Saccharomyces cerevisiae S288C: one gene and its partners. The gene in region 3 interacts genetically with the main gene of each other region. Each region holds a gene or a part of one and is shown on either strand. Other genes may lie near its edges.

Evidence for each region. A genetic interaction does not mean that the proteins touch.
Region 1: mutations in DBP5 (region 3) and LSM7 together harm fitness more than expected from each alone (negative genetic interaction), as found in Saccharomyces cerevisiae (4 studies listed by BioGRID, with this or other methods).
Region 2: mutations in DBP5 (region 3) and THP1 are lethal when combined (synthetic lethality), as found in Saccharomyces cerevisiae (3 studies listed by BioGRID, with this or other methods).

What each region holds. Positions count from the first base shown.
Region 1 is NC_001146.8:348,956-353,526, reverse strand, and holds LSM7 (Sm-like protein LSM7), read right to left. Parts: upstream 2,588-4,571; coding exon 2,570-2,587; intron 2,474-2,569; coding exon 2,144-2,473; downstream 1-2,143. Other genes in the region: MPF1 (Mpf1p), read left to right, coding at 1-707; MFA2 (mating pheromone a), read right to left, coding at 997-1,113; YNL146W (uncharacterized protein), read right to left, coding at 1,510-1,812; YNL146C-A (uncharacterized protein), read left to right, coding at 1,947-2,141; ALF1 (Alf1p), read left to right, coding at 2,856-3,620; PGA2 (Pga2p), read left to right, coding at 3,771-4,160. UniProt on the Saccharomyces cerevisiae protein: Component of LSm protein complexes, which are involved in RNA processing and may function in a chaperone-like manner. Component of the cytoplasmic LSM1-LSM7 complex which is involved in mRNA degradation by activating the decapping step.
Region 2 is NC_001147.6:193,268-198,480, reverse strand, and holds THP1 (Thp1p), read right to left. Parts: upstream 3,512-5,213; coding exon 2,144-3,511; downstream 1-2,143. Other genes in the region: NBA1 (Nba1p), read left to right, coding at 1-1,261; succinate dehydrogenase assembly factor SDH5, read right to left, coding at 1,486-1,974; DSC2 (Dsc2p), read left to right, coding at 3,681-4,649; YOL075C (uncharacterized protein), read left to right, coding at 4,939-5,213. UniProt on the Saccharomyces cerevisiae protein: Component of the SAC3-THP1 complex, which functions in transcription-coupled mRNA export from the nucleus to the cytoplasm.
Region 3 is NC_001147.6:413,959-422,167, forward strand, and holds DBP5 (ATP-dependent RNA helicase DBP5), read right to left. Parts: upstream 1,950-8,209; coding exon 501-1,949; downstream 1-500. Other genes in the region: TOM6 (Tom6p), read left to right, coding at 1-79; STD1 (Std1p), read right to left, coding at 2,389-3,723; ssRNA exonuclease RAT1, read right to left, coding at 4,672-7,692. UniProt on the Saccharomyces cerevisiae protein: ATP-dependent RNA helicase associated with the nuclear pore complex and essential for mRNA export from the nucleus. May participate in a terminal step of mRNA export through the removal of proteins that accompany mRNA through the nucleopore complex.

The sequences.
Region 1 (4,571 bases), on a different chromosome or scaffold from region 3:
TAGATCCTTTGCGCTGTGATCGGTCAGTGTTGAAAATTAATAATTTTGAACCGGTATACGAGGGAACAGGAAGGTCAACTATTTCGAATTCTGCTGAGCGTACGAATCGTGAAGAAAAGTTAAACCGTGGCAATGAAGATGTAAATGGAGATGAAGATGATGACGAAGACGAAGACGATGCTAATTACGAAGAGGATGATGAAGATGGATATGTTGAGGATGATGACATCAATAGATTGGTATATTTGGATGAAAGAGAATCTCGCTATGAGAATGCGGACGTTGAGTACGGTACAATATTCAGTACGAAAAGCTTTTCCGTGACTGGTTGTTTAAATCATGATTTTCCAAAGAAATTGTCACTAAAATGTGGAAATAAGAATCAATCCAGTAACGATTCGAAGTGGGCACCGGCGACACAACTAGTTTCAAGGAAAAGATATATCAAAGACTCATTAAGATGCATCAAACCGTTAACGGAAGACCACCCATGGGTAGGTAAGATTATTTTCAAACCGGCACTGCCACCAGCATTCGAAACGAATAATCCACCTATAAGAGTTTATAGTGGTGAAGATAGTACGGACTTGATGCACGTGAAAAACCATTATTTAAAGCCATACATAGTGGGATCCTGCGGGTTTTTGAAAACTGGCTCAAAACTTTTTCACTTTTACGATAGAACTAACGACCTTACGAATTTATGAAATATATGTGTTTTTAATGATTAAATAATAGTCAAAAATATAATTAAAAAAAAAATCGAATGTAATGGGTGGTTCATCTTTCATTTCCTGCGGAGGGAAAGGCGTATCAGAAAAGAAAAACATGAAAAAATCTGTTAAAGTGATAACTACAAATACATATGTATAAAAGTATGAAAAAGTATGGAAAGGGTGAGCTAATGATGAGAGAATTGGAATAAATTAGTTTGCCAGCAACACGTAATAAATGAAAGGGTAGATATTGATTTGACCTCTTGGTTGTCGTCAAAAATTAAGCGATAACACAGGCGGGATCCCAGAAGAGGCCCTTGATTATATAGTTGTCTTTCTTTTCAGAGGATTTATCCTTCTGAGTGGCTTGTGTGGAAGCAGTGGTGATCGGTTGCATTAAGGTTGGTAGTTATTGTTGTATGAAGATGATAGCTCGCTGGTGTCTCTAGTGATGTCAATGAACGGATGAACGACAGAAGAAGTGGATGGAAATAAAATGGTTATTTATCAGATATTTATATACAAAATTACGTGGTAATGCAACAGCTTTTTCCTCTCGCTTTGTTCTTTTTCCTCTGACATGCATGTTTCATTTTCGTTCCTTATGGCATCCATGTCATGTAAATTTCCCGAATAGGTAAATACATGCTTTTTTAACTTAAAAAATTATGGGCGTCCTATGCATGCACTTAACGGAAAAGGAAACTATCAATTAATTATGTAGTAGATGGTGTACCTATTATTGCATTAGTATTTGTTTCAAATGAAAACATGCTGCTTTAACTTTTCTAATTTATACCATAAACGGTATAGTAATGATGAAACTGAAAAATAAAAAAATAAACAGTCTGGTCTTATCGACCATGTTAACATCATCAAAATCCACCAAGTTTTCCGAGAAAATAGATGAGGGCCTGTTATTATTACTAACTGAGTTTGAATTCTTTTTGTAAAATCGTGGCAGTAGTTCTTGAAATGTCATTTTGAAGGACACTGAGTTTCGAAATATCAACATTATGAGTATGAATAAAAGTGTAAGGATAATGATCCTTTTGAGTTCCATGTGATGAGAAGTGGTATGCTTAGTATTGCTCATACTGGACAAATACGAAAGGAATCAGTAAATAATTAAGATTGTAGAGGGAGGGGTGTATGTGTATGCGGATACTTTTTTGATTTGGCAGAAGGAAAATTGGTATTGGCAGCTGTACAGTGACTCCCCTTATACAAATGATCTCAGTTTGTTTCGTTTTTCCTCATTCTCTGGCTTTAGACTTCAAATCGCGGTGTAAAAAAAATAGGACAAAACTATGTAGCGCATACTATGTCAGTCAGGTATTGAGAATATGTAAAGAAATGCCATACCGTGATTTGATTTTGTTTTCAACTGTAAGGAAGGGAGTTTATATGAGATTATATTATTAAACCTATTTTTGCATATATAGTACATCAGAACCTTCGGCGGAACTTAAAGAGACCAAAATAGTACCTCTTATGACGGTCAAACCTAGCTTTCTTGCGTTTTTAGAAATCAGTTCAGTGTTGTTTTCATCATCAGGATTAGACATATATTCTACTGTATCATCAAGTACCAAGTTCATCAGTTGATCATAGCCTTTTAGGACACCTATAACTAATTTACCACCCATTAATTTGACGCGAATTTTAGAATCTTTATACTTCGCTAAATCCAGAATAGCTTCTCTTTTAGGGCCTTCGAATTTTTTCCTTTGCTGTTGTGGTTTGTTCTCTGATTTCTTAGTTCAAAAAGGAAACATAGTTATTATAATGTTAGTATAAATAAGTCAAAAGGAAGGTTATTGCCACGGAAGAAAATAAGAAGTGAAACATACGGAGTGTTGCTGATGCATGTTTTTTTGGTTAATGTTCTGTGTAGTAAACAAAGTGCTGCTCTCAAATAACTTTCTTTTTTACTGTAGTAGTATACACGTACATGCGTATTCTTAATTGTCGTTTCCCAGTTGTCTGTTTTCAGCTACAGCTTTTTTCGCCTTTGTTCGAAAGAACAGTACTTTTTTCCGGCTCGCAGGGAAACGGCAGTTGAAGAAGACAAGCGACAAGAACATAGAGCAACGAATTCAAATAAAGAGATAGAAAAAAAAATTACATGGCAAAACTATGGTTAGAGTTGTCATAGAGAGTGAATTGGTCCGTACAGAAAAGGAATTACCAAATTCGCTTAAATTAAGGCAGTTCAAGGACCGATTGTACCATGTTACCGGAGTGGAACCAGAGGATATGGAAATAGTTGTGAAAAGACAGTACGACAACAAGGAGATATATAGTACTAAAAAGGGGGGTGCCTATTCAAATGAGGATGAAGATGCCAACTTCCTAAAAGGAGAGGAGGAGCTTATTGTGGTTGTTACAGACTCTAATGCCCAATCAATCTCTAACCAGCTGGCCACGCAAGCGGAAGGAATCCCCTCAATGGAAGTAATTAGCGAGGAGGATTATTTGCGAAGGGATCAATCCGTATTACGATGGAAGATGGCTCACGGCTATGGTAGGTTTAATGCTGCACAGCAGAGCCAGCGCGCTGCGCTGGCAAAGCAGGACGAAGCATATGCCCGAGAGCAATTAACGGCGGCTATCGGCCGCCACTGTCGTGTCACAGTAGACGGGAGCGCTCCACGTGAGGCCATTTTACGGTACGTAGGACCACTACCGTTGGACGTGATGGGCACATGGTGCGGTGTGGAATTCCCGGAAGCCGCAGGCAAAAACGATGGGCGCATAAATGGGGTAACACTGTTTGGGCCTGTGGCGCCGGGTCACGGATCGTTTGTGCGTCCGCGGGCTGTGGAAATTCTATCAAAAGACGAAGAATCCGCCGAGGTGGAAGACGTCCATGATGACGTGGAGAGCGATGATGAAATTTGAATTTGTGCAGAATTAGCGCGGTGGCGGTTTAGTTAGTGATCTCCATCCGATGTCAACATATTATTATTTGTAGTTGTATTTATGTGCACTCGGCGGTTTGTATGAGGAAAAGATGTTATGAAGAGAAAAACTGCCGAGTAATTGAAAGAGATGTCTGAAGTAGCGGAAACATGGGTGGATACCTGGATGGCAAAACTAGTCAACTATGACTACAAGCACTTTATAAGATTGGTGATAATTGTAGGTGGTTATTTACTCTTAAGAAATATCGCATCCAGGGAATTGGCGAAGAAGCAGTTGGCTGCCCAAGTGGAAAAGGACAAACGAGACAAAGAGGAAAAGAGATCAAAAGACCTGATCGACAAGCCAGATGATGCTGCAACAGCAGAAACAACTTCTTTCGGTTGGGGTAAGAAAACTAGAAGAAGAGTTAAAAGACAACAGGAGTTGTTTGAAAACGCTTTGGAAGAGGCTAAGAGAAGAAACCAAGGGTTGGACCCAGATAGTGATGCTGATATTGAGGAACTACTGGAAGAATAGGCTCTCTGTGTATGTATGGGTTCCTCTTTGTCATTGTGACATTGTTTTGTTTTTAGTTTTTCTATAGTTTTCTGATAAAATAGTCTAACCATTACCGATGTTGCTACTTGCATCATTCTCAACGTCTAATCAACTTGCGTTTGCGTCTCAAATTGAGTTTGTAGGTTACGTGTCGCCTTAATAGTCAGCAAATGCCGACGTTTGTGAGACGGATAACGACTGCGATGATTCCCATTCCGCATGAATGATGCAATTCACAATTCAAACACGATATCAAACGACTAAGCCGTGAATTAACGGCTAGAATGCAAAAGAAAATGGGTAAGAATTGATTTATGTAGATACGGCAAGACGATACTTTCCTTAAACAGCCGAGAAACGAAAAGGTTTAAAGAGATGTACTGTGACGTA
Region 2 (5,213 bases), 220 kb from region 3:
GATTTCCAACTACTCTGGAATTATTCAAGAAGGCGTTGAAGTATCATATGTGGTCAAAAACCGGCAACAGACCCAAGAACGGCGCACAAGTAAGGATTCCAATAGTTTGTACTCCTTGAAAGAGCCCGTGAGCAAGAACGAGTTACCGTCGTTGCCCATGTTGCCTTCAGAAGCGACATTGACAAAACATCTAAGTGATAACCAAAGCACAAAATCGAATACCAATGCAGACGAAATTGTCATTAAACCAGTTACTAATGCCAAACCTGTGGGAAGGTTTAACTCTAACACTTCAAAAAAAGTAGAGGGTCGTGGCTCACTGAAACTGTTATCTAGTCCTCTACGTCAGGAAAAAGTTATGCGTTCCTCTATAGGATCAGGTAATTTGGCCAGCGAGAGCGGATCTTCCACTTATAATACCAAATTCCATCAATCTATTCAAGAGCAGCTCGAAGAAGAAGAGGAAGGAAATGTTAGCGATAAGCTTTCAATTGTTTCCAGTGTCATACCCGAGTTGTATACAACCACCAACGAAGCACCCAAAGCGATAAACCCAATACGTTCTGAAACCAATGACTACAATCCAACTATTCCGCCCAGAAGTAAGGACCGTCCTAGGTCAAGGTTGTTCATCGAAGAAGGTGATGGCGAGGGGGATCTTTTAACCGAAGAAATATTACCAACGCCGGTCCAACCTGGTGGCCACTATAAGAACTCATCTCAGATTTCCACAGTTAGTGAACAAAAATCGGAATCTTACTATTCTGCGGCAACGAGTATGCCTCCAGAGGAAGAGACTTACTTGACAAGACCATTGCCCAGCACACCCAATGAGGATAGCAGAGTTACATCGAATTTGAAACGTGACGACACATTGAAGGCTATTCATGATAGGGCAAATCATACCTCTACTTCGACAAACAAACAAGATGATGACATGTACGAGGACATCATTGAGGAAACGCCCAAGAAAACTAAACTCAAGAAGGATACGAAAAAAAAGCTCAATAAAAAAAAATCTGTGAAGGAATTGCGATCCTTTGATATCGACACACTAAATCAACTGTTGAGTGTGACAAAGGGAACCTTAATCGGGTCTGAATTTGCGCAACTGGGGATGAAAATTGAGGAGAAACGTGCCCTGGAGAGACTAGTAGACTCTTTGTCCAGGTTAACAGCAGACATGGTTCTTGATCCGGACCGCTATGAAGAAGGACTGAAAAGATTAGACAAAGCTACAAAGGCTCTTGAAGGGTTTTGATGGTGCAACAACAATAATAATAGTAATAGTAACAGTGGTAGTAACAATAACAATAACAATATCAATATCAATATCAATAATATATTATAATACTAATAATGAATAATAATAATAGCAATAAGTATAGTATAGTATAGTGGTAATATATAAGTTTCTTTCTCTTCCGGTTTATTTACAAGTCATATACAAATAAAAAAAAGTGATAGTAATTCAATGGCTTGTATTCATTGATACTTGGACAAGTCCGGCATACTTAAAATTTCCTTCTCTTTATTTTCACTGAATTCTTGTAGCTGCTTCAGCAATTTAGAATTGGCCCACTTGTCAGGCAAGGGGCTGGTTTTGAAATTTTTTGTGGCCCAATAGTATATGTCCCAGTCCAACTCATTCAATAGCGAATCGTATTCTTCCAGTTCCTCTTCGTTCATCTTCTTCAAATATTTGGCAGCGAACCCAGATAGCAGCAAGTCCGTCTCCAAGATCCCTCTTTTGCGTGATTGATATATCAACCGAGCTCTTTTCTTATCCAATGGCTCGTTAGTTCTCTTTATGGGGGCAATTTTAATCCTCGTCACCACATCGTCGTGGTCATCTTTATCACTACTAAACCACCTACGACCGCACGACCATGCAGCGGACCCTGTTTGAGAGTTGATAATCTTGTAGCCTTGCAACGACAGTGTCTTTGTGAGTGCTGGAAACATATTGTGCATTTATGTGCTCCTTTTTAAAGTGTACTCCCTTTTTTCCTCCTGTTCTTTTTTTACAAATTTCGCCTTTCTTATATATCCTAAATATACTTAAAATCTAGTCTCTTATGAAATCTGTAAGAAACAGCATAATGTCGCTCCTTCTCTTCTATTTCCTATATATATCTACATATCACCAAAGAACGTGAGAATGGGCAGGAAACATCTTGGTGATTCGTTCATTAACCGGCGGAACAATCTCTTGTATCATTGTAGTCTTTTTCACTACACACAGTTGTAACTGTGGGAAACAGTTTGCGCGTAAAAGTCCCAAGTTAATCAGTGTCACAAGTACGTTTTCGACGTTCTTGGGGGAGTGAATGCCATTATAAATGGTAATTTCCTGGGCGCCGGGATCCTCGAATGTCGGACCAATAGATAGCTGTAGTACCCGTTCTATCAAGGAGTACGGTAATTTGTTCTGACCCCATTCGGTGGTCCAGGACTTTATTACCGTTTTAATCAGATTTCTGTACGTTACCATGGGCAGTTTCTCTAGGAGCACGATCAGTAACTGTCTTGCACACAAATGACGCTCGTTTTGTCTCAGCCAGAGACTCACGCCTTGAATATTCCCATAACGTACGTGTTTGTAGAGAACACTCCAATTATCAATTGTTTCTTGGGAAAGGAACGGTCGCAACGGTCCCCATTTGACCATCTTTCCCAGTATCAGCCCTGTAGGGATCATGTAATTTAGTATTCTGGTGCCATTCCTAGTGATCGCTTGGTTCGTTAACGGCAAGTTCAATAAGGACTGGAAAGCTTCATTGAATTGAACGAAGGCATTATGTACTTGAGAGTTCAACAAGTAGTACCTTCCTAATAGATATCTGTATTCTATTTGCTGGTCGAGCTGGTATTCGTTGAAATGTGCAAGCATGCTTTTTGGCTGAAAGTTCTTAAAGATATTGGAACATAATTGCGGTGACTCGATCCTGAAGTAGATGTTATTTAGTTTATTGACCAGGTAGAGCAGTATTCGTTGTTTTCCAGGTATATTTGTAGAAGATGCGTTACCTCGTGGAGGTTTGATGCTGTTAAATAGTCTTGATAGGATGGACGATATATGTGATAGAAATTGGTGACTTCTCGTATGCAGTTGCAAGTGGAAAGAGTCTAGTTTCCCAGCGAGATTGATGATAAATTCTGTTTCTCTAGTTGCTACTGGTATCAACATTTCTATGTGAGGAGCATTGTCGTTGATGAGACAGTTGATTAAACATTGATAAAACTCAAAAATTAGATCCGAACTGGACCAGGCTGACCATGGGTCGACATCTCGGGCATAATTTAAAAAGGATGTACACATGATTTTGAATCTCGTATCATTGGGCATAGCCGGGTGTTGTTCTACAAACGTTTCTAGCTGTTTATCATCAAATCCGGTCAATTGCTTCTGTAAGATAGCAATTTCCCTACCATTTTGGGACAAGTTTAGCGTTAGGTGGGAAAAATTTCCATGTGCTAATTCATCTAGCAACTGGTTGGCCATGTCCATTGCTATCTATCCTTTTATCCCTGCCCTGTTTCTTACTTTGAATGCCATTGATGTGAAGATGGTTTTTTTTTTTTGGAAAAGTATAGAAGAGAAATTTGACGTATAAACTTAACTATTAAAGGGAGAGAAAGTCAACGACATAAAAAGCAAACACAATAGTCTACAAATAATGTCTATGGAGCCTCCTGTGGGGCTTACGGCTATGCCCGTCACCAAGCTAGCCATGATCACGACGCTTGTGGTTCCCTTAGTTGCCTCGATTGCAAGTTACAAACATATATTTCTATTGCAATATGATCCTTTTCTGCAGACCTACCATCAATACTACCGTCTGCTCATATTCCAGTTCTGCGCCATCAATGAATCCGATACAGTAATACTGGCGTTGATATGGTATCTGTTTAGGCATTTAGAACGGCTACTAGGATCCCACAAGTACTTGACCTTGATTGTTTTGTCATGGGCCTACACCACCTTAGGAATTTGGGGATTGAATCTGATCTGGAACGCATTTATTGGACAGTACAAGTGGCTTCAATGGAACAATTTTAGTACAGGTTCACTGCCCATTGTTTTAAGCTTAGTACATTTTTACAAAGAATACACCCCTCAGATTTACGAATGGAATATAAGATTACTAGGACCTCGAGGAGGAGCATCAAGTCACAATGATAACAAGCGAGAAGACAAGAGCGCCGTAGAGTGGAAAATCAACGATCAGTTTCTTTTAAATGGGTTAATTCTCCTGCTTATATTAAATCAGGGGTTTGCAGGAATACTATGCGGATTCATAAGCTGGATGTGTGGTATTTTCATCGATAAGGGCCTGTTACCGGGATTAGACCATTGGAGAATACCGTTTGTATCCTATTTCATCTCTCAAGGCCCACCCACGAGGGCTAACGTTGCTATAGCGGCCAATGCGGCCACGAATACAGCAGCAGCAAGAGCCACTGTAGAAGCAGCTACTGCTGCTACAGGAAATGGAAATACAGGCAACTCTGGGCCTACAAGCCTACCGCTTCGTGGTTCAAGCACCACCCCTACAAATACCTCTAGCGCTGGTGATGACGAGCCTGGTGCCGATGAACCTGCAAGACCACTGGGAGTCCAATTTTTGGATACCTTTAGGAGATGATTTATATCAGCATATACCTACATAAACAAATAAACATAGCAACGGTTTAGCAACATCGTTTACAGCCATGTGAGGCAGTTACTTCTATCATATGTCTGGCTTTAGTATTGTTGGGTTGACACTTATACGAAATATCAGAAAGTGAAAAAAAAAAAAGGAAGGATCTAGTGATGAGATAAACGAATTTGTGATGTAAATGCAGAAGTAGGCACAAGTGCTTGGCAGTTTTCAAACGATCATCGTATTTTAAGCTACAATCACCAACGCCAAACATCCACTTGCAGCCACTATGTCACAGCAGGAGAATGGTGATGTGGCCACTGAATTAATCGAAAATAGACTTTCCTTCTCAAGAATCCCTAGAATAAGCCTTCATGTAAGGGATTTGTCAATCGTTGCATCCAAAACAAATACGACGCTAGTTAATACGTTTTCCATGGACCTGCCCAGTGGGTCGGTCATGGCAGTTATGGGTGGTTCGGGGTCAGGGAAGACTACGTTGCTGAATGTTCTGGCATCCAAGATCAGTGGTGGGTTAACTCATAATGGTTCTATACGGTACGT
Region 3 (8,209 bases):
ACTAAACGGTGCCTTCTTCGTTGCAGGTGTTGCGTTTATTCAATCTCCACTCATGGACATGTTGGCCCCACAATTATAAGGGGTTGGTTCTTGTATAGTTGAGATTTTTTCACTTACCTGTATATATATTGGTTTTTGGGTTCTCAAAAGAATTTGTCAAATATGTTTATATTTTATTCCCGAATTATGTAGAGTTAGCAGTGTATATAATGGAAAAAAAGCAAGTATGCTTTACATTTAGTATTCCTTTTAACGCAAGCCTTTTGTATACGGGCTGTTTACTGTTCACCGGAAAGCCGTGACAAAAGAGAGTGACAAAGGTATCGAAATCACAAGGTATATGCTGTGTTTGTATTTATATAAGCTTGCCTCACAAGTAAAAGTGGATCAACAAACTGAGAAGAAACAAATGGGACCCATTGATGTCGTAATAATATATTCATTGGTGTATGAAATTAGATTAAAGCTTTTACGTATTTTGAGGTATTATGTACTGAATTCTAATCCTTTAACACTTTCTTAACTATTTTTTCGACTTCATCCCAATCATCCGTTGGAACACGAGTCATTTCTATATCACCGAAGTATTTCTGAATTGCAGATAAAATATTGAAAGAATTTTTGTCATGTACAAAGGAAATGGCAACACCTTTTCTGCCGAATCTACCGGTTCTACCGATTCTGTGAATGTAAGTAGCTGGATCTGCTTGTCCGTTAGCAAGCGTTGGAAGATCATAGTTGACAACCATTGAGACAGTAGGAATATCAATACCACGGGCCAGGACATTAGTAGTAATCAAAACTTTGGATCTACCCTCTCTGAAGTCGTCTATTAATCTGTCTCTTTCTTGTGTCTGTAAATCACCATGCAAGATAGAAACTTCATGACCTTCACTTTTCAATTTCCCATATAAAACGTTTGCGGTTTTTTTGGTTGCAACAAAAATAATGGAAGATCCAATTGTCATTAAACCATATAGCTCAGTTAAAACATCAAACTTATCTGCTTCGTTTTTGCAGTCCATGTATAGTTGTTTGATGGCATCAACATTAACTTCATTTGTTTGTAATTCTAAAGTATTAGCATTTGGAACGATCTTCTTTGCGTACTGCCTAACTGCATCGGCAAAAGTAGCACTAAACAAAACAAGTTGAGTATCCTTGGGTAAAAATCTCTTAACACGAATACACTGGTCACCTAGACCCTGCTGATCCAACATGTTATCGGCTTCATCCAAAACAAAAATTTTAATTTTCTGTAGCTGCATCAATTTTCTACGCATTAGGTCAAGAACAGTGCCCGGCGTACCAACAATCACTTGAGCATTAATTTGCTTGTTTTTCTCAAAAGAATCGGGAACAATTAACTGACTGGTTATTTTTGTGAACTTACCCATTTCCTGAACGACTTCTAGTGTTTGTCTGGCCAGTTCTCTGGAGGGGGCTAAGCAAATTGCCTGTGGAGATGCGTCTTCTGGGTTTACTCTTGTTAGCATCGTTAAAGAAAAGGCGGCAGTTTTACCTGTACCTGATTGAGACTGAGCAATCATGTTCCTAGGCGGATTATGTAATAATAATGGCAGCGCCCTTTCTTGAATTTTGGATGGTTTTTGAAATTTCATAGCATATATCCCCTTTAGTAGTTCTGGTGCTAATCCTAATTCATCAAAAGATTTAGCACTGTACAATGGAGAATTTGGGTCAGCCTGGATATCAGCAAGTTTGACCTTAACTTCATATTCTGAGCTGATTAAATTACTATCCTCCTGTTTTGTTTTTTTTTCCTCAACTTTTGGAACTAATTTTTCTGCAGGCTTGATCGAATCAGCAGTCTTTTCTGGTTGGGACTTAACAGTCTCTTTTGTTGAAACTTCACTTGTATCCTCTTTCTCATTATCAATCTTTAAAGAAGCTAGTAAATCGGCCGGATCTCTCTTTGTATCACTCATTCCGATCTAAGGTGGTAAGTATTTTTATAGATGTTCTTGGTTGCTGATCGAGTATTTTATGGTGTATAAAGGTCAACTGGTTTTAAAGGTAATGCAAATTTTGCAATGCTTTGCTTGATTGAAAAATTTGCATACGGGTAATACCGCGTTGATAATAATGTAACAATCAAATAATCAAGACAACAGCAGAGTTATTCTTTAAATACGATATATATGGGAGTATCATCATATTTAAATGTTGATTTTTTTGGGTTTTTTTTTTGGGCAATTTTAGAGCAGTAGGCTTAAAATATATTAAAATTATTAAAGGTATTACTTAATCTTAAAGGTCGTCGAAATCTATAATAGTACGTGTATCAAACACTTTTGTAATTAATATTAATGTCGTTAAGTGGTTAAATAGTGGGGTATTTCGTTTTTGCGTTGTTGTAAAAATTTACTAGGACATTCCATCAGGCTTCCAATCTAACCCCAACCTTTGATAAACCTGTGTTTGGCATTGAAACCAGATGGCAGCCCTCTCCTCTGAAGTTAGAGAAACCTTATTAACGACATTTTTCTGTGTACCAGCACCTAATGTCTTAGCATCATTTTTATAATTTTTTAGTTGCAAATTTTTCATTAAAGCCTTTTTTAAAAGACTACCAGAGTTAGTGCAGTCATGTATTTTAAAACCATGCGGTATGAGGCTTGGAGGCGGCATGTCAGGCCTTTTCAAATTTGAATTTAGTAATTTCCATCTCTTGTATTCGGAGCGCTTTTGTTTAAAGTCATATCTGCATTGGGCCTCGACGGCAACATTTAATAAATAGTTCTCAATTATATTTCTCCATTCAGGCTTTGATAGACGCATAATGGGTTCCTTTGACCCAGTCATTTCTTCATGTCTTTTTCTTGCTGATGCAACTGTATATTTTGCGCTTGTCAACTTAAAATTGCGGTCTAGATTTGCTTCTATGTATAAGTCTGAGTTAACCAATGTCGCTATTATAAACTCATCACTGGAACTTAGGGGAAGTAATTGTAGTCTGAATTGCGGTAAGTTTATACCGGAGGTCACTACCGTCGGTAACTGGGAACCCCATTCTGGCCTTAATTGTTCCACAATTAACAAGGATCGTATATCGTTTAGATCCCAGTCCAGCAATTCGCGCTTTGTAAACTTAGGACGTCCGTTATAAAGTATATTTGCTGGATCAGACATCAGAACTTCGGGAGAATACATATCATAGAATGTTTTGGGTAAAGCGTCTTCAAGTGTTACTTCTGTGACGAACTTAGGTGTTTTTGTATCAATTAACGAGCTGCCTGTGGTGATGTCCGTAAGAGCAGTAGATGGCTGTGAAAATATACTCGATTCGTATGAAGATGAATGGTCTGAAACAAAACTTTGACTGTCCGGGGTATTTATGTGTTGGATATTTGCATTTTCTGCAGTATTACTGTTCACTTCCATAGGTTTAGTTCCTGCAGTAGGCAATAACCTTTTTATGATTTCTATTCTTGCCCTGTCTGCATATTCTGGTGGTGTAGTAACAAAATTGTTGTTGCTCCTAACATTTCCTGAATTGGAACTCAAATTATAGTGATTTGGTGTGTTTATTTCTTGGTTATTATGTGGAAGATTGCTGTTGAATCCAATAGAAGGAACGCTATTTGTCATTTCTGTGTCAGCGTTGGGTTGAACATTCTTTGGATTTTCGTCATGTCTTTTCGATTTTCTTTTCCCTAATACTTGGTTCCTCGCTGTTGCTGGAGGTGGTGAAACAAACATCTCGTTTTATTTGTCTGTTAAGTAGTGCAAAACCTCCTACAATCGCGATGGTAACGAAAATGATAGGTAAATGAGAGCTTCTAATATATTAAACTGGTTTCCTACGGTACGATATTTCTTGAAGCCTTTCTTCTCCTCTATTTAGTTCGAAAACGTCCCTCTCTCGTTAACTCAAAAGAAAATTTACTAAACTATAACTCTGTCTTTTAATAACTCCTGGAATTTTTCCGTTATGGAACTAAGAGCAGCCTTCGCTAAAAGATTTTCCGTGTTTTCAAAAGGAAGGGAAAAAATTGGACAAAAACCCGCGTACGAAAATTTTCCTGCTTAGCTCAGTCGGATTTATTGAAAACTTTATTTCATTTTTCCACAACATCCCACATTACCCGATTGTTTGTTGCAAGATTTTTTGAAGAGGACGCTTGCATATTGGCCAAGGAGGAAGTGTAAGATGTGCTTTCGTGACTTGAGCGAAGGGGTTGGCGTTGTATAGCATGAACTTCCCAATATGTTGCATTCATCCCTGGATGATAACAGACCAAAGACCAAATTTGATTTTAAGTTTAGGAACTTAGAAAAAAAAGGTAGTGCCGTATTCGAAACTTTCGCCGTGGACTGCCTCTCTTTTCAAAAAAGAAGAACAGACCATGCTTTTTCTCCTGGATCTGGAAGAAAAAATACACGAAGCGTATAAATCAAAATAGAGTTCGGTCTATTGGCTTACAAGGATTTCGCTATTTTACAAGAGGACGTATATTCATATATTCATGCTTCAGCATGATTTTCTCTTAACTTAATATGTTCCATTTTTTGTTATAAAATATTACTGTTCGTCGTTTGTAAGAGCAGACACTATTATCTTAAAAGAGCTTTTTTTTAATTGTATGAAGATTTTATAAATTTGCGAAAACCTAAATTTACCATAAAATAAAATGCGCACGAGTAGTTCTAACGCCTATTTGCTCTTGAATTGTCATACCGACTTTGCTTGTTATTCCGAGAGTAGCTGTTGCCGCTGTACTGTCCACTATTTCTATTTCCGGAATAGTTATTGTTCCTGTAATTTGAATTTTGTCTGTAATTATTGTTTCCACCATCATACCTGCTATTGTTGAAGCCGGGTTGACTGTTGTAGCTATTCCTACCATAGTTGTGGGCGGGTTGGACATTATTTCTACTGAGCTCAGCAAAATAAAAGAATGCTCGATAGCCACCAGTTCTTGGTTTGTACTGAGTAATACCCTTTGGTCCTACTGGAACAATATTTTGCTTCAAATCATTACCAAAGTTCCAGCGACGGGAGTAATTTTGGTTATTATACTTGTACATTATGGAATCAAGGTCATATGCTGTTAGTACCGGTTCTGACGGAATGAACCCGTTCAGTATAATAGACTTATTTCTCGATGGCAACGGAATTAATCTATAGGACATCTTTAAAATCAAGGTGGTAGATAAATTTGGCAGTGACCCACCTTGAATCGGACATACAATTTTCCCATTTAATTCGAAACCTTCAACGTCCTTTGATACAATACCACTTAAACCACTCTTGAAGTGTTGAAACTTCACAACAACATTGTTGTTGTTGTTTTCCTTTGAGTATAATTTCTTCGAAAACCTCTCATAATTAGCATTCTTGTTACTTATTAATAAAACAGGTTCTCCGCGAATATTTCTTGCCCTCTCAGCATCAGAAAGTAAAGGATATTGTGCACGAACAGCTGTTAACAGTCTATCCTGATCGATGAATGGTAGCAACGCTATGCCTTGCCAGGACATCTTCTTACCATTCATATCTATGGGAAATTCTTCAGGATAAAAATCAATGATTTCAGAGTCAGGTTCAGACATCAAAGACCGGAAAATTTTTGGCAAAGCATGGCCAGATGCAGCTGGTAAAACACTCATCAATTGTTCGTAAGGTAAAAATGGAGTACCTTCTTCGAACTTTATCTCCAAGTGAGAAAACCCATGGAAATCTGTTGCCAGAGGAGCATAATGGTACGGATAGAACCAATTCCAAGAGGCACAACCTTGATAGTAATACATTAGTACCCAGGCGACCCCTTCGATATAGCATTTTACCATATCTTTTCTTAACTGTTCAATATCTTGAGGAGTAACGTGAAATTTAGCTGTGTAATATCTTTCGTGGTAACCAGGTTCGAATAGTTTGACAAATTCATCTGTATCAAAGACCCCATTTTTGGGACCTTCGCTGACATTCACTGTGCTGTGGACTGGTGAATCTCTTGATACTTCTGTAGTTTCAGAGTTTTCCCTGTCGTTTACGTCAGCCACAATCTCATCTTTGATCTCTGCATCGAGATCGCACTCTGATTCCGCTTTCTCTGTCTTAACTTTTTTGCTATCCTTAGCAATTTCTTCCTCTTCATTATCCTTTTCAAGACGGTGTTTCTTATTTATTATTTTCTGTTTCATAACTTCTGCAAGGTTAAAATTAGTTTTGTTAGCCTTACTAACAGCATCATCAATTTCTTCCTTGCTGATATCTTTCATCAGTTCATTGTTCTTATCACTCTGTTGCTTAACTTTGGCGATTGCTTCTTCGTTCCCCTCGTTCGCAAGCATCAGTTCCTTTTTCAACCTTACCATATCACTGGTGGTCAAGTTCCATGAACCTTTTGCTAAATTTCCTTGTGTGTCATACATTTGCAGTTGCTCCGTAGCTACTGTAGGATGCCTGTCTTGACCTTTTGACATATTTTTCTGCGCTTTCCTTCTTTCAAAAGCTTCTTTCTTTCTGGCTTCTTGAATATGTCTAGTTTTGAAGATATCCCCCTCACGGGAGCCAAGGTGTTGCAATAGCGTTTCAACAGAAGGGAGGTTCAAGACACCGTCGCAGGTCATGTACGTTTTCAATTTCGGTAGTACTACCTTCCAAATATCCAAGAGAATATCAATACTATTTTCTCTGACATCTAAGCATGGTAAATGTGGTAAAAAGTCATTACCACAGAAAAAGCACATGAAAACCCAATCGTCGATAGCCCTTTCTAAATCAAATGTAAATGGAAGACCCGGAACCCATAACTCAGCGGACAAGTATTCCCTCAAAACATTTATGTGCAGCCACAAGAAAGGTTGTTCGGAATTTTGTTTTTGGAGAAATTGTTTTTCTTCTTCAGTCATATTTATAGTATCTTTTAAGTTATTTCTTTTCCGATTGTCTTGAGCAAAAACATCTTCTCTTAGAATTTTAAAATGTGGTTCATGAGTGGCAAGGCCCAAAAAAATTAAATCAGCATCCAAACCGTATATACAGTGCGTTGTGTTGGGATTATATTCAGGATCAGCTCTTTGAGACCTAATGAAATTCATTATTTTGTGCTCACCTTCACCTGGGACGGTGGCGTCACTGATAATCACCTGCAGGTTTTTCCAACCAGGGTCAGTGGCCAGTTTAAATGCTGTCCAATAACGGAGGGCCGCGGCAAGCTTATCCATAAATGGGGTGCCTGGAGTGATCGCATTTGAATCCCAAGTTTTCTTGTTCCTGACGGCATCATCGATTATCTCACCAACTTCTTCTCGCTGTCTCATAATTTCTTCCCTGGCTTCGTTTTCAATCTGAGCATCCCTAGCACTCCTAAATCTACGCGCTCTCTGCTGGTTCATTTTGGCACGAGGAGCAACACCATCAACAGCCATAACAAGTACCTTGCGTGGTCTAGCCATATTTAACACACGATTGGTATATTCAAAAACTGCCAAAAGCATTTCATCTTCAGTCTCTGGAGGCGGTTTGTTTTCTGGGTGCGAACATGGATGAACAATACCATTCATATCCAAATACAAGTTGTCTAACTCACCGTTTGGATTTGAGGCGGAATAATCCAACGGCAATATGACACCGTCGACTATCTGAGGTTGCTCTTCCAATACTGGGGATATGATCTTTGGATATTTTCGAGATAGCCATCTGAAAAATGACGGAACACCCATTATATTACGAAACTTGGCTGTAGCACTTCCTTGAAGAACCTGTCTCACTAATTATTACGGGATGTCTTTATGTTGTAATAGGTTCATCGATGAGGTTTGGTTTTTTATTGCCATAGCTGAAAATCTTATCTAGATACTCTCGTTACCCGACTTATCATTCCCGAGACGCTCAAATATACAACCTGATGAGAAAGTAAGGTAATATACCTCCAAATGTTCAAGATTATAAAATACATTGCAGTGCCTTAAAAACGTACTTCCGATATTATGTGATAGTAAACTTTTCGTAGTTTTTCATCAGAGATGGGGAAAGCTTTTTTGGTGAATTGATTTTACAACTACTTGTTTCAGTATACTATAAAAATCGAGTAAAATTCGTGAATCTTTGAATAGAAAAGATTTCGTGAACATATCTATAAATTAATCACTTTCTTAACCGATATAAGATTTTAGCCCGGTGATATAGGCTTCAATCAGCAGTTACGCTTTTTTGCTTTAATTTTACTGTTTATGGAGG